Caenorhabditis elegans: one gene and its partner. The protein of the gene in region 1 purifies or fractionates together with the protein of each later gene. This does not show direct contact. Each region holds a gene or a part of one and is shown on either strand. Other genes may lie near its edges.

Region 1 (8,039 bases):
TCTATTTTCTAAGTTTTTTTGAAGACTTATTAAGAAACTTATCAACAGTGAAATGAATGTCAACAATTGCACAATATTTTTTTAAAGTTGAACAAGTTTTAATAAAACCAATGGCAGGAGATAATGAGATGTTGAAGTGGTGTAGTATTTTGAAATTATTAATTTTCTCTTAAAAACTCAGCCAAAATATTGGAACTTTAAGATCCGTTGCCAGCTGTCATTTGAGAAAAATCTTTCCGTATTAGCTTGATGAATGAAACTTTTCTAAGGACTCAAAGATTGCATAGAGCTGGAAAATCTAATCACTTTGAATCGAAACTTAATTTAATAGAAATCTACGTAAAAATTGTTTTTGGTGAGCTAATGTAGTCGTTAAAACCAAAAAGGTTAAAATTCATAAAAGCCAAAAGTTGGAAAAACAAATTATCAAATAATTTCTCAAAACCCCTCAAATTTTTTGATCTAACATATTATTCCAAGCTGAATCCTATTTTCCCCCAATTTCCTTATTTTCGCGCAATGTCCAATCAAGATATGTCAATGTCCCAGGTAAATCAAATTAATATTCATTTACGAGTAATAACCCTAACAATTCTATTTTCAAGTCTATCAAACCAAAAAGTGTTTTCCAGTGAAACGAGATTATGATTTTGTTCGATTTGGAAGAGCTGCTCCAATCAAGAAGGCATCGTACGACTACATCCGTTTCGGTCGGAAATGATCTCAATTCATCCATATTCACGCGGCGCCTTCATAGACATTCCACTTTTCACCAAAAAACTAGAACAACATCTCATTTATTTTCATTATTTACTTCTTTAATTCCATCTGAATAATAATTGTCATTTATGTGATACACCACGATATATTTATGAATCATGTTGTGTGCTGATTGCTTCCAATAATAAACCGGCCTTGACACGTTAACCTTGCAATTTTTAGTTTTATTTGTTTTTGCAAAACGTTGTTGATTGTATTTCCTGGATGAACATAATTTTTTATGGCAAAAAGTGCTTGAAAGCTTTGCTTTTTGCATCAACTTCTTGCTCAAGATCGAAAACGTTGGGCAAGACTTTCCTCTTATTTTTTCAGAAATATTTCAAAAAAATCACAAAAATGATATGTTTTGGCATGAAATACCAAAAGTGTACCGCTTATGCAGAATCTTTGGAAGCTCACCGCAAGCTCAGCTCGGAAATTTTGCAGCTTAAAATTCACAATTAAAAGCTTTCAAATTACAAATATCTCGTTTAAATTTCAAACTTCCTGTGGAACCCTCAGAACCTTCTAGTTCGGCAACGCCCAGGTTTCATCAAAGTTTTGTTATACTCAAGTTACTCAAGTTTCATTTTTCATTAATTAAAAATTATTTAAAAAATTAATGACCTTTACGACATTGACTAAGAATATCTGAGTTTTGTTCCCAATGCTACTGAATTCTATTGACTACTGTAGGTGAGAGAAATGAGAAGGAGAAGCAGGTGGAATTGAACAAAGTCATGACGAAGAGATTTTCAGCTGTTCCACTTTTCAGAAAATCGATCGAAGGCGGTTTTGGATGTTTGGATGAAATAATGTTTGATATAATAGGAAAGGGAAGTACAATGTGGGATTGAACGGGAAATATAAATGATCAGTTGCAATAGAATTAAATTTTTTAGACAATGTCAAAATATTGAAACAACTTTTCATAAAATGAATCTGCAAAACTGCTTGATTGCACTGAATTTCAGTTTAAAAAAATTTCAAGTCTCTTCAGATATGCAACACTTTTTTTTACTGTGAAATATGTTTTGTTTTGAGCTTTACAACTCACTATCAAGTCGCTGCACAAAATACTAATGGAATTTTTAAACTGAAACTTGATTTTTTTTGGCAATTTTTAAGATTAATATAAAGCCTTTTTGAACTCATTGTCTCTATTTCAAAGATTGATTAATAAAAATGCCTTTTTTTTGGAGTCAAACCGACTTTTAGTAGTCTTGAATTTTTCAAACGAGATCAGAAAGTGATTCATTTGTAGTTAACATGTCTTCTTCGCAGCAAACATCATTCTTGTATGCTCTTCGGAGCACAGTTTGATGACGACATCAGTCACGATGTCCGAGAAATGATAAGGAATATATGGGAATTATAGAAGGTGTTACTAGACAAGAAAAAGATAAGATCATCTAACCAAACAGCGGTTACAATAAAAGGTTATTTATTGAATGGGTGTCTGTTCAGCTGCCACGTCAGCAGTATTGATTGAGTTGGTACTGGTCATCTGTCATTTATCTAATATTTCAATTTTTTAAGTTTGTCGTACTGAATTTTCGAGTGTTCAGGGAGCCTCATTATTTAACTGTAACTTTAATTTTTTATTGTGATTTGTTTAAGAAACTGTGCTTGAAATATAATTCAAGAAAATAATTGTGTCTGGTATTTTCATTTATGAGGAATATATCGGAACTTTGAGCACTGGCAATGTTCATAAAACATTTTATTGAAATTTATTTTCTTTTTCATTCTCGGCGACGACTGAGACCATTTATCATTTTCAAAAGAACAGGAAAAGGCTTTGTCTATCTTAAAATCTAGTTTATCAGCACGTGACTCTCAACTCACAGCCTCTTCTCTGAAAATAGAAAAGTACAACTTCTCCTCTCGCTGAAAAGTGGCTAAAATAAGTGACAGAACTAAAAATTTCATCTTTGGTACCAAAACATTTAATCGTCTTATGTCCTGAGTTTTTAACACCTATATAAAAAATTATCGTTCTCAATACTCTGCATTTCTTTCGTTTTTTCTTCTTCTTTTTCTGAAATATTATTGCAGATGATTCGTCAAATTATCTTGATAGTTTCACTTATTGGGATATCAAATGCCGCGTACCAATGCAAGGATAATAATGGAAGTAATGTAGATTGGTGAGTTACAAGGGAATATATGAGTTTTGGGCTGAGTTTGGCAACTTTTGTAGAGAAAAAAAAAGTTACAGTATTTTCACTAGTGGTATTGCATGTAAAACGCTTGATCGACTTGTAGGGTGTCAAGAGGCTCCAGGACTAATTTTTGAATGCTTCATATTGTTTTGGAAAAGTAATCAATATTTAAAAAAAAACGCAATTTTATACCGTTTAATTAGGGGTTAATATACCAGACATCCACTTTCACAGTCTGACGTAAAGTCGGTGCAATACAATTAGGGGGCTGCATGATAAAATTTCAGCCAGCCGCTTCCAAAAGTTCTGGAATTCAATTCAAACATTTTTCTTTTCTTGTCATCAAATATTCTTGCAAACTATACTGATGACTTTTCACACTTTTCTTATCAAATTGAACGGCTAATAATATTATTAATCGGCTTATCACAAAATGAAATTCAAGAATGTCAGAACTAAACTATGAAAATTTTTATAGATGCCATGAGTTGTTTTTTCTTTCAAAAAGACATAATGCCGAAATACATAATTTTAGATAATCAATAAATTATTTTTTTTTTCAAAAAAATTGAATTTGAGGTTCGTCTTCTACAAACTTCCACATCTTTGGAATCATCCAGACAATGTACCAATTTCAAATGGAACTGGATTCTTGTATTTTGATGTCAATAATAAAAATTGGGTTTGTTTTTTTTTAATTGAAGTTTTACCAATAATAATCAATTTCAGAAACTTATGCCACAAGGAATGGATGTTGAGAATAATGCCGTATATTATACCCTCCAACAGTACTATAACTCGAATATGAATACGGTCAGATAATACTTGAACGTTGCTTTTTTTGAAAGTAAATTTTCAGACATTCAGCTACATGTACAATGACGAGTGGCCTGATAGCACAATCTGGAGTAATAGTTCAGGACATGCAAAGGGTGTTACTGTATTTGATCAATACACCGGATTCTGGATGATTCACAGTATTCCAAAGTTCCCGAGTAAAGATATGTTCCGATTCCCATCAAATGCGCATTATTATGGGCAAATGGGAATTTGTATTTCTTACAATACGGTTTCCTTGGCAACTATTGGTAATACAGTCGGTTATACAAGTTATTTTAAAGAAATATACTATTCAGCTCAACAACTCTTCTACTACAACACATTCACTTATCAGTTCAATTTGCCACAGAGTTTTGCAAACCAGTTTCCTGTTTTATCTCAATTGAAAAATAAGGAATATAACAAGGTAGGAATTTTCTTGCGCCTGACAACTATTCCGGTTTCCAAGTGATATAACATTTTATAAAATCTGTTTTCAAACAAATTTCCAAAATTGATTTTTTATCTCAAAAAAAATAATTTTTAATGTAATATTTTTGAATTCAGAGTCCACCACTCACTTCCACGAAGGTTTTGAAATCACTTGGTGGCCAACACTTCCGACATTTCGCGAAAACCGGTGAATGGGGAAAAGGTAAGAATTGATTTCTGTGACAATTCGCAAACATTGTAAGAAAATTCAGATCTCTACAGCGATTTTGTCGGTCCTACATTGAAGTCTTCGATCAAAGTTGAAACATGGAATCATCAGAGCGGAGATGAGTATAATCTCCCATCAGTTTGTGATCCCAATCATGTTCAGTCGGTAAGGAGTTTTTTTTTCATATTTTGGCATTCAAGCGTAGTTAAGTTTTCAAAATTGTTGCATTTCAGACAATGAGTGCAAAATACATTCGTCTTCCATATGCAATCGATTACTCCAGCTATGAAGATCATTCAAAGTTCGTCGTGGCATATAGTGAAAGCTCCTCAAAGCCACCAATTCCATACGTTTGTATTGGAGATATCAATCGTCAGGTATTTTAAACACATTAATTTAACAATAAGTATTGGTTGAATTTATTTTAAGAGTCATCAAATCCATCGTGGCGGTGGAACAATGTGCATCTACGATCAAGAAACATACTTCCAATTCGCAAATATCATCAGTGAAACAGTGCCTTGCACAAAAGCAACGGCTGAAAAGGTAGATGCGCTTGCCAACAATCGATATTTCTAGATATCATTTATGAATCATCATTTAATTATAATATTTATCTCTTTGTTGTCTGTCTGTATTTGTTATTCCCTTTTCCCATCCCCTAAAATACTACCTCTGAAAATTAAGTGATGGAGCAGTTGTGTTTTGAGTCATCGCAATTTTAAATATAAACTTCCGCCTAATTTTGATCAATTTTCCGGTTTGAAAAATAGCTAACTAGCTGATATTATACACAATTGAGCTGTACAAAACAAATATTAAAGTCAAAATTCTTGAGAAGCCAAACAGCGGACATATTTTCTGTAGCCTGCCGTTTGTCTATTTTTGGATATTTTATGAACCTTTTTTGTTAATTTAGAATTAGTCGAAGTTCTGAAAAACAGTTTTTTTCGGTGATAACTTTACTTTAAATTTTAAGATGCCACAAAAGTTTTTTTTAATTCAAAAAGTTTAAAAAAATGATCATGGTTGTTAGTGATATTTCAGCTCTCGCAAATCTCCTATTTGAATTATCGCGCTTTTGACAACCTTTTTTCTAATTTTTAATTAATTATATTCTCTCGAAAATTCCAAAACTCCTTTTTGAATTTTTTTGAAATTTCATGCTGAAACGTCATAGCCACGAGATTTTGGAATGCAAAGTCAAAAAAAAGGTTGAAGTTCAAAAAACGTAGTGAGTGAAGTGTCTCTCACAAGTATCATGTCAAACAATGTCTTTCCATTTATTTGTTTCAAAACACTGCGCTTTTTGATCATTTCTTTGCTTGAGCTCTCTCTTCCTGCTGATCCGTCACTTAATCTTCTTCCTCATTTCAGGCGACCCTAACAGTTCTTCTTATCGCAATTATAACCTTCTTTAAGTGATCTTGATAGCAATTTTGAAATCATAAAAACAACAATTGTGCATCCGGGAGCCATGGGATATGTGTGTAATGTAAAAACCAATAAAAAGTTTTTCAAGTACCAGATTTTTGTTCGATTATTCGTTTTTTCTCACCTGTTTCTTTTACTAAACGTCGGACTTCAACAAAAATATTAATTTCTAAATAATAACTTTAAACAGTAGATAAATAACTCTCTGACTTCACTTTTCGTGAGCTGAGACTTTCCGGAGTTGGTGCAACTTTAACTTTTCCTCCATTAAGTTTCATAGCCGCCAACTATTTGAGATTTGCCAATTTTTTTGGGGCATTTCACTATTCTTATAAGATCTGTTTTAACTACCTCAAGCATGCCTGCCTTTGCGGGGCCTTCAGAAAGTTAATCATTTTGCAATGTGCCCGACATAATCTATGTCTCTGTCTGTAGGAACGAGAAAGGCGTGAGCGGCCTTCCCCCGCCTTTCAGTCATGTATTTTTTTTACTTAGATGCCCTACAGAGATATTCAGTTACTAAAAATTTTTCGACCCACAGTGCTAAAGTTATTTCCATAAAGTATATTTCAGCATTATGTTTCGTTGGTTTCTCACGAATAATATGATTTCATTTACTTGATCTTTCGAAAATCACATATATCTCAACTTTAATTAAGTAATTTTCAGGATTTACATGATTTTTGAATTCCAAGTATTCTCAATAAACTTCTCTTCACCTGCACAATCATATGTCAGAAGACTTTCATAAGTGTCCTTTCTGAATTTCAATAAATTATAATTTTTCATGAAATATTCAATTTTTGATTAGTGAAGCGTATGGACTCCCAAATATAGACAGTTAGCATCTGTTGTAATTATTCAACCATTATTTATTTATTTTTTGCAATATGTGAATATGGATATTTGAATGAATTTAGCAAGATTTGGTTTGGTTGAGTGACCGCACGCTTCGTCCCTTTTTTATCTTTTATTCCCTCATTTCTTTTTTAGATAATAGAAGCACAATTCCACTTCATCTTTCGGATTTTTATTTACTAGATGCCATTGTTGAAAAGAAATAAGAAAATACTTTGCTCATTGTCAAAACAGTTCAGTTTCCTTTTTTCCTTACTCTCTAAGAGGGCTTAACAATTTGAAGCAATGTATTTTCTGATTTTCTGAAAGTCGCCCAAATCCTCTACTTGGTTATATATTTATTCGTTCACGTTTTAATGAAATGGCAAGAAGAAGAATCAAAGGATTTAAAAAGGACAAAACATGTGAGCGATAAGATGATCAAGTAACCGTAATATAGTTTCGAGATCAAACGTGGGGAAGAAGGTTCAGAAGTTGGCAAAGTTTGGGCAAATTTCAGGCTGGACTGGGGTGTTGAGCCCAAGTTTGATCCAAAAAAAAATTGGCGAAAATTGGGAAAAGTGTTTGCCTGCGAGCTTTCATATTCAAGCACACTTATATTTTTCGGGCATGAAATAGGCAGCAATCGCTGAAAATACAGTCTACTACATTTCAGTTATTTTTTTTTTAATTTTCCTAATTTTTACAAACTCGACATTTGATATTCTCAAGAACACTCCTCTTTTCAAAATAAGTAAATGTAGGCGGAGATATAGAACACCACCCCATGAGAAAACATGAATCGGATTTCAGTTAAAATCTTTAAAAACATATTTTCTTGTGGTTTAGTCGGGGTACAGAATTAAGTGAATCAGAATATTTCTGATGATATTTTTCTACTTTTCTCATTTTATTAATGTAAGTAATTTATTTTGTACATTTGACAGTTCATTTTTTTTCAATGAATGTGAAAGCTCAGTGTTATCTTTAAGTTTATTAAAACATTTTAACATGGAAATTGTTTTAATGTTTAAACTTTTTGACAAACCCATAGTCAACCAAGACATAAACTGTCAAAAAGGAAAACCAATCTAATAGATAAAAAAGGCAAAATGTTTTTTTCTTTACAACTAATTAATCATTTTTGGCCATGAACAATTCAAAGCTAGATCACTACAATTTACAGTCCAATTTTAAACTCCCAGCTGTGAAAAAAAAACGAATGCTCACGTCTAGTGGGCGTTTTGTTTCCCGGAGTGGGTGTTGCTATATGATTTGAATAATGGAAGCTCTTCTTTGAATATCATCATTCAAACTCAATGAATAGGACAGCTTTGATTCAAGTACTTTTCTCGTTTTTTGTT
Region 2 (7,400 bases), on another chromosome or scaffold:
CCAAAATGAGCACTGCGACCAATCAGCGATTTGCTCCGCCCATTTTTCAACCAATCAAACGGAGTGGGCGGAGTTCGAAGACGCTGATTCTCATTTTGGAAGGAATTAAAATTGGAAATTTTGCCAAAATGAAAAAAAAAACGATTTTGTTGTGGTTTCTCTGAATATAAAACTATTTTGGGAATTTTAAGACAAACTGGGTTACTGTAATGGAGCTAGACCAGTCTACAGTAACCGGGGCTTAAAGGCGCACGCTTCAAAATGATTAAAAACCTTTTGAAATTCCAGATGAGCGGAAGAGGACGTGGTGGCGGATCTTCGAACACTATGCGTAGTGTCGCCAACGCGTTGGGAATCGCTCGATACGATATGGCGAAAATGATGTCACAGCAGAAGAATGAGCCGCCACAGTTGTATCCGGTACGGGCTGTGGAGCACCGGAATAAGAATTTGAAATTTTTTGAAAAAAAATCTGGAAAAATTGAATAAAAAACCATAATTTTATCACCCAATTTTGCGACTTTTCCGTCAAAGTGTCAAAGTGTCTGGTCTCGACACGGCAATTTTTTATTAGTTCAGAAAAGGTGTGCGCCTTTAAAGATTACTGTAGCTTCAAACTTTCGTTTCTGCGGAATTTTTATCGATTTTTTTCTCTCGATTTGTAAACATTTTATTGTTTTTATTACTCTAATATTTCAGTTTGTTAATAAATATATTTTTATCGAAAAACTAAGAAAAATATATGAAAATTGCGTAAAAAGTTTGAAATTACAGTACTCTTTAAAGGCGCACACCTTTTTGCATTTAACAAGTTTGTCGTGTCGAGACCGGGTACCGTAGTTTTAGCAGAAATTTCTCGTTTTTTCGAATTCCTTCCAGAATCCAAAAAAAAAGAAGCCAATTCTTCAACTGAACTAGTCCTAAATTTACTTGAAATCTTTGAAAATCAGTATTTTAATGAAATTTGTATTTTTCAGAAAGTGCAACATGACCCCGTTCCACTTGAAATGACGACTGACATGCTCTACGTATCCCGTTTAAAAGTTGAACTTGATCAACGAATGCGTGATTCACAGTTCTTTATTGAAGCAGAGAAAGACGACGAAATTAAGCGTTATTTGGATAAATATTCGAATATTAAGAGGGAAAAGCTTAGCATTGGTACGGAAATCTAGGTGAAATTGTGTCTCAATTTCAGAAAAAACAAAAAAAAAATTTGAAAATTCAACTTTTTGGCTAAATGAGAAGAGCGGCCAATCAGCGATTTGCTCCGCCCATTTTTCAACCAATCAGATGGAATGGGCGGAGTTGGAAGATGCTGATTGGTCGGAGAGTTCGAGGAAATTAGCCAAAAAAAGATTGAATTTTTCTATTTTCTGTAGCGCTTTTTCTGAATTTAAGGCGATTTTTTAACCTTTTCAAATTCATAAAATCCATTTTAGATATGTCCCATATGCCGAATGAGCTCATTTGGCGCCGAGCTAGCTCGAAATCCAAGGAATCTTTGGCAAAACGACGAAAAGTCGCCAATGACGATTCGATGATCAAGGAGAAGTTGAAAAAATTGGAAGAAAAAGAAGCACAGAATAAGGATGATGATGATGACGATGAGAAGGCTGATAATGATGTAATAGATATTTTAATTTCAGATTTTTGACATTTTATATGGGACAGGGCATTTTTTAGCACTTTTTTTTCAGAAAAAATCGAAAAATAATTTTCAGAAAAATCGAAGTAAATAAGTAGAAGAAATGCACGGAAAATGACGAGAAAACTAAAAATCGAAATTTTTCGTTTTTTCGAGAAAAATAATCAAATTTTCAATAATTTCGGGTTATTCCTCATGAATTGCAAAAAAAAAATATTTTCTCATCAAAATTGGCATATCTTTTGATGAATCTAGAGTTTTCTCGTCCCTTTATTTCTGAAAATAAAATTTAATTTTAGTTGAAACATTTGGAAAACTGCTCAAAAAATGTTCGAAAGTTGGAAATTTCTAATTTTCAGACGATTTTTGAGTGGTTTTTCAATTGTTTCAACTAAAATAGGAGCTATTTTCAGATAAATCACTACATTTTAATGAAAATAATTGGAAAAAAATCATATCTTAATTTCAGAAAGACTCTGGCAGTGAAAAATCCGCGGCAGAAGAGGAGGAGAATCCATTATCAGATGATGACAATCAGGAGGAGGATAACGATTACATCTCGGCTTACTTTGATAATGGAGAAGGATATGGGGACGGCGGTAGCGATGATAATTTGGATGCCGATGATATTTAAAGAATCTCCGGACACTTTTTTTGTTGTTTTTGTTGTTTTTCTCTCAATTTTTGAATATCATTGTTAAATATATGAATTTATTTATTGATTTTCCCTTAAATTTAACCCTTTTATTCGTTATTAGCTTCAGATTTAACCAATTGGTTCAGAAAATCGGTTTTTTCAAGGAAAAAAGTGTCCAAATAATGATTACGCAATCGCGCTCCATGGACAACTAATTGAACGCACCGTTTTCCCGCCAAATTGAACGCAGCTCCGATATTTTTTATCCTTTCTTGGGGTTTTTTATAGTGAGAAACACAATTTTAAGCAAATATTTTATTGTTTTTAATCAATTTTAAACGAAAAATATATTAGAATTGTTAATTTATCGTTTCGCAATCTCATACTCATCTTATTTTCTCGAAATCTTGGAGAATATCGGGGGTTTTTCGTTTTTTACGTCAGGAAAGTGCGGCGAAATCCGTATAAATTCGGTGAAATTTCATGAATTTGACTGATATCGTTCGGTAAAACCTAAAAAACCCTATTTAATTGGAGAACAAAAAGGAAAATCGTGTTTTTTTTTCGAAATTCGCTGTAATTCGTTTCCTACCCCCGTTTTCCACTCAAAAATCCACAAACTTCCCAATTTCAGAATATTTCAGATATAAATTCACAAGGACTAACCCCACACCGCTATGGGAATTAAAGGACTCTCCCAAGTGATTGCTGATAATGCTCCCTCCGCGATTAAAGTCAACGAGATGAAGGCGTTCTTCGGAAGAACAGTACGGGAATTTTTTCCTTAGATTTGCAAAATTGAAGGTTCAAAAATTCGAAAAAATAATTTTTTAAAGCGAAAATCTCCAATTTCGTCTACTTTTCTGTGCGCCGCAGTCTGATTTTCATATTTTAAAATATTTTAGTCGTTTATCTCCTGCTATTTTGTTGATTAATGATTTATCGGTTCGACGCGATAAATCAGAAAAATTTGAAGATTTTCAGCTCTAAAATTGGCTCATTTTTACATAATTTTGAACATTTTGAAGAAATTTCCGGGTAAATGTCTTAAATTTCGACGAGTTTTGAGTCTTTACAAGCAAAAAAACAAAAAAAAATGTTTTTTTTTCAGGTAGCAATCGACGCATCAATGTGCCTCTACCAATTCCTCATTGCTGTTCGTCAAGATGGTTCCCAGCTTCAAAGTGAAGATGGAGAAACCACAAGTCACTTGATGGGAATGCTGAATCGTACGGTTCGAATGTTCGAGAACGGAGTGAAGCCTGTCTACGTTTTCGACGGAAAACCACCGGATATGAAGGGTGGAGAGCTTGAAAAACGTTCCGAGCGTCGTGCTGAAGCAGAAAAAGCGCTGACTGAGGCCAAGGAGAAGGGAGATGTTAAGGAAGCGGAGAAGTTCGAGAGAAGACTCGTAAAAGTCACAAAACAACAGAACGACGAGGCGAAGCGTTTGCTGGGATTAATGGGAATTCCAGTTGTCGAGGCTCCATGCGAGGCAGAAGCTCAGTGTGCTCATCTCGTGAAAGCTGGAAAAGTATTCGGAACTGTCACTGAGGATATGGACGCGCTGACCTTCGGCTCCACGGTTCTTCTCAGACATTTCCTGGCTCCAGTCGCCAAGAAAATCCCGATCAAGGAGTTCAATCTTTCTTTGGCTCTCGAAGAAATGAAGCTAAGCGTTGAGGAATTTATTGATTTGTGTATTCTTCTCGGCTGTGACTATTGTGGAACTATTCGAGGCGTCGGGCCTAAGAAGGCTGTTGAGCTGATCAGACAGCACAAGAATATTGAGACGATTCTTGAGAATATCGATCAAAATGTTCGTCGTTCGTAAAATGCCTATTTTATTATAAACGCGCTCCACGGCAAATAAATGCCCCGAACCATGGGTCTCGTTAGGTACTTGCCGGTGAAATCATAAATTCGAATTTTTCACTTAGTTTTGCCTTTTTTTTTAAATTAATTTTGGCATGAAAATCAATGGAAACAACTAAAAAAGCCGAAAAATTCAATAAAAAATTAGCAAATTTTGAACTTACGGTTTTGCCGCCAAATAGCTAACGAGGCCCATTATGCGTGCAAGCGTAATTTTTCGAGAAAAAAAAAATCGAATTTCCAATATTTTCCTGTCATTTTTCAATTTATTGGAGAAAAATTATTTTATTTTTCTCATCAAACTTTAAAAAAAGCTATATTGTTTCTCCTAAAGATTTATTATTGAAAAAATTATGAATTTGTTCGTTTTTCGATTTTTTCTCTGAAAAAAACTCGAAAAATTGAAAAAAAATAAATCGAAAGTTTTCAATGTTTTTTGTGAAAAAACTGACAAAAAAAAGCGGAAATTTTCAGTTTTGTCTAAAAAAATCGAAAAATTTCAATTTCCTACTAGAAAAAACCGAAAAATGGAAAATTTTCTTTTTTCTCTTAAAAAAAATCGAAAAATTTCACTTTCCTTCTAGAAAAAAACCGAAAAATCGGAATTTTTTAAACAACACTTTTGGCTCGAAAGCGGAGCCTTTTGAATTAGCAGTGGAGCGCGTTAACACATCGATTTCAAATTGGATTTTTCTGCGGATCTATAATATATCTAATTTCTAAAAAAAATTCCAGAAATACCCACCACCAGAGGATTGGCCATACAAGCGTGCTCGTGAGCTTTTCCTCAATCCAGAAGTGACAAAACCGGAAGAAGTTGAACTGACATGGAAGGAAGCCGATGTCGAAGGTGTCATTCAGTTCTTGTGCGGAGAGAAGAACTTCAAGTTTGTCCCCATGAACCTCATGAACTTCATCTAATTTTTCTTTCATTTCCAGTGAGGAGCGCATCCGAAACGCGTTGGCAAAACTGAAGACTAGCCGTAAATCTGGAACACAAGGACGAATTGACTCGTTCTTCGGAAACTCGACCAAGGTTACATGTGTGACAGCTGCGACAAAACGAAAGGCGGAGGAAGCTGAGAAGGCGAAGAAGGGAGCAAAGAAGGGTGGACCACCGAAGAAGAGAGCCAAGTAGCTCACACTAACTATTCAATTTCTTATTTGATTTTTGTGAAATATTGATTGAAACGAAATAAGGTTTTTATTTACCTTTATCCTTTTTTTAATGGAACACACAAAGCTAAGAAAACAATAAAAAATTTGGAAATTTTCAATTCCGTCAATTTGCCGATTTGCCCAACACCCATTTGCTGGAAGTTTTCAGGGTTTTTTATAAGACTGACCAATTTGGGAAATTTGAATTTTTCAATTCCGGGAATTTGACGATTTGCCGGAAAAAAATTTTGCGGCTTACCTCTGATGCATACTATTACGGGAACACTAAATTCTGAGAATGCGTATTGCACAACACATCTGACGCGCAAAATGTCTCGTAGCGAAAACTACAGTAATTCTTTAAATGATTACTGTAGCACTGTGTCGATTTACGGGATCTCGATTCTTGGCATGAATTAGTAAAATTATTATTTATGGATTGAATATTAAAATTTAGCGAAAAATGACGAAATAATACAAGAAACGGAGGAAAATTATAAATCGCTATCGATATTCAAAAAGAAATTATAAAACATTCCGAAAATCGAGCGCGTAAATCGACACAAACCGTACAGTAGTCTTTAAAAGAATTACTGTAGTTTTCGCTACGAGATATTTTGCGCGTCAAATATGTTGCGCTATCCGCATTCTTAGAATTTTGTGTTCCCGTAATAACAATACTGCGAGGTTCCTGATGGACACATCACACATTATCTGTACATTGATTTATGATGTCCCACGGGGTTCTGGCCGCTCCATTGACAATCGCCCAAAAAAATAGATTGACATACCAAAAAATAGATTGATATACCAAAAAATAGATTGACATACCAAAAAATAGATTGACATACCAAAAAATAGATTGACATACCAAAAAATAGATTGACATACCAAAAAATAGATTGACATACCAAAAAATAGATTGACATACCAAAAAATAGATTGACATACCAAAAAATAGATTGACATACCAAAAAATAGATTGACATACCAAAAAATAGATTGACATACCAAAAAATAGATTGGCATACCAAAAAATAGATTGACATACCAAAAAATAGATTGATATACCAAAAAATAGATTGATATACCAAAAAATAGATTGACATACCAAAAAATAGATTGACATACCAAAAAATAGATTGATATACCAAAAAATAGATTGACATACCAAAAAATAGATTGACATACCAAAAAATAGATTGACATACCAAAAAATAGATTGACATACCAAAAAATAGATTGACATACCAAAAAATAGATTGACATACCAAAAAATAGATTGACATACCAAAAAATAGATTGACATACCAAAAAATAGATTGACATACCAAAAAATAGATTGACATACCAAAAAATAGATTGATATACCAAAAAATAGATTGACATACCAAAAAATAGATTGACATACCAAAAAATAGATTGACATACCAAAAAATAGATTGACATACCAAAAAATAGATTGACATACCAAAAAATAGATTGGTATACCAAAAAATAGATTGATATACCAAAAAATAGATTGACATACCAAAAAATAGATTGACATACCAAAAAATAGATTGACATACCAAAAAATAGATTGACATACCAAAAAATAGATTGACATACCAAAAAATAGATTGACATACCAAAAAATAGATTGACATACCAAAAAATAGATTGACATACCAAAAAATAGATTGGTATACCAAAAAATAGATTGGCATACCAAAAAATAGATTGACATACCAAAAAATAGATTGACATACCAAAAAATAGATTGACATACCAAAAAATAGATTGACATACCAAAAAATAGATTGACATACCAAAAAATAGATTGACATACCAAAAAATAGATTGACATACCAAAAAATAGATTGACATACCAAAAAATAGATTGACATACCAAAAAATAGATTGACATACCAAAAAATAGATTGATATACCAAAAAATAGATTGACATACCAAAAAATAGATTGACATACCAAAAAATAGATTGACATACCAAAAAATAGATTGACATACCAAAAAATAGATTGACATACCAAAAAATAGATTGGTATACCAAAAAATAGATTGGCATACCAAAAAATAGA

The links. Proteins that work in one complex are often made in the same cells at the same time.
Region 2: the proteins of crn-6 (region 1) and crn-1 purify together in Caenorhabditis elegans (affinity purification with western blotting, with the first as the bait; one study listed by BioGRID). This does not show direct contact.

The regions. Positions count from the first base shown.
Region 1 is NC_003281.10:9,364,456-9,372,494, forward strand, and holds crn-6 (Cell death-related nuclease 6), read left to right. Parts: upstream 1-2,815; 5' UTR 2,816-2,817; coding exon 2,818-2,909; intron 2,910-3,503; coding exon 3,504-3,606; intron 3,607-3,653; coding exon 3,654-3,737; intron 3,738-3,783; coding exon 3,784-4,012; intron 4,013-4,060; coding exon 4,061-4,170; intron 4,171-4,310; coding exon 4,311-4,398; intron 4,399-4,447; coding exon 4,448-4,569; intron 4,570-4,637; coding exon 4,638-4,781; intron 4,782-4,833; coding exon 4,834-4,950; coding exon of another isoform or gene 4,951-4,983; exon of another isoform or gene 4,984-5,145; intron 5,146-5,781; coding exon 5,782-5,829; 3' UTR 5,830-5,926; downstream 5,927-8,039. Other genes in the region: flp-25 (FMRF-Like Peptide), read left to right, coding at 633-721. UniProt on the Caenorhabditis elegans protein: Involved in apoptotic DNA degradation.
Region 2 is NC_003279.8:3,479,068-3,486,467, forward strand, and holds crn-1 (Flap endonuclease 1), read left to right. Parts: upstream 1-2,929; 5' UTR 2,930-2,962; coding exon 2,963-3,052; intron 3,053-3,396; coding exon 3,397-4,104; intron 4,105-4,895; coding exon 4,896-5,047; intron 5,048-5,099; coding exon 5,100-5,298; 3' UTR 5,299-5,433; downstream 5,434-7,400. Other genes in the region: Y47G6A.9 (DNA-directed RNA polymerase III subunit), read left to right, coding at 289-420, 978-1,161, 1,443-1,627, 2,118-2,282. UniProt on the Caenorhabditis elegans protein: Structure-specific nuclease with 5'-flap endonuclease and 5'-3' exonuclease activities involved in DNA replication and repair.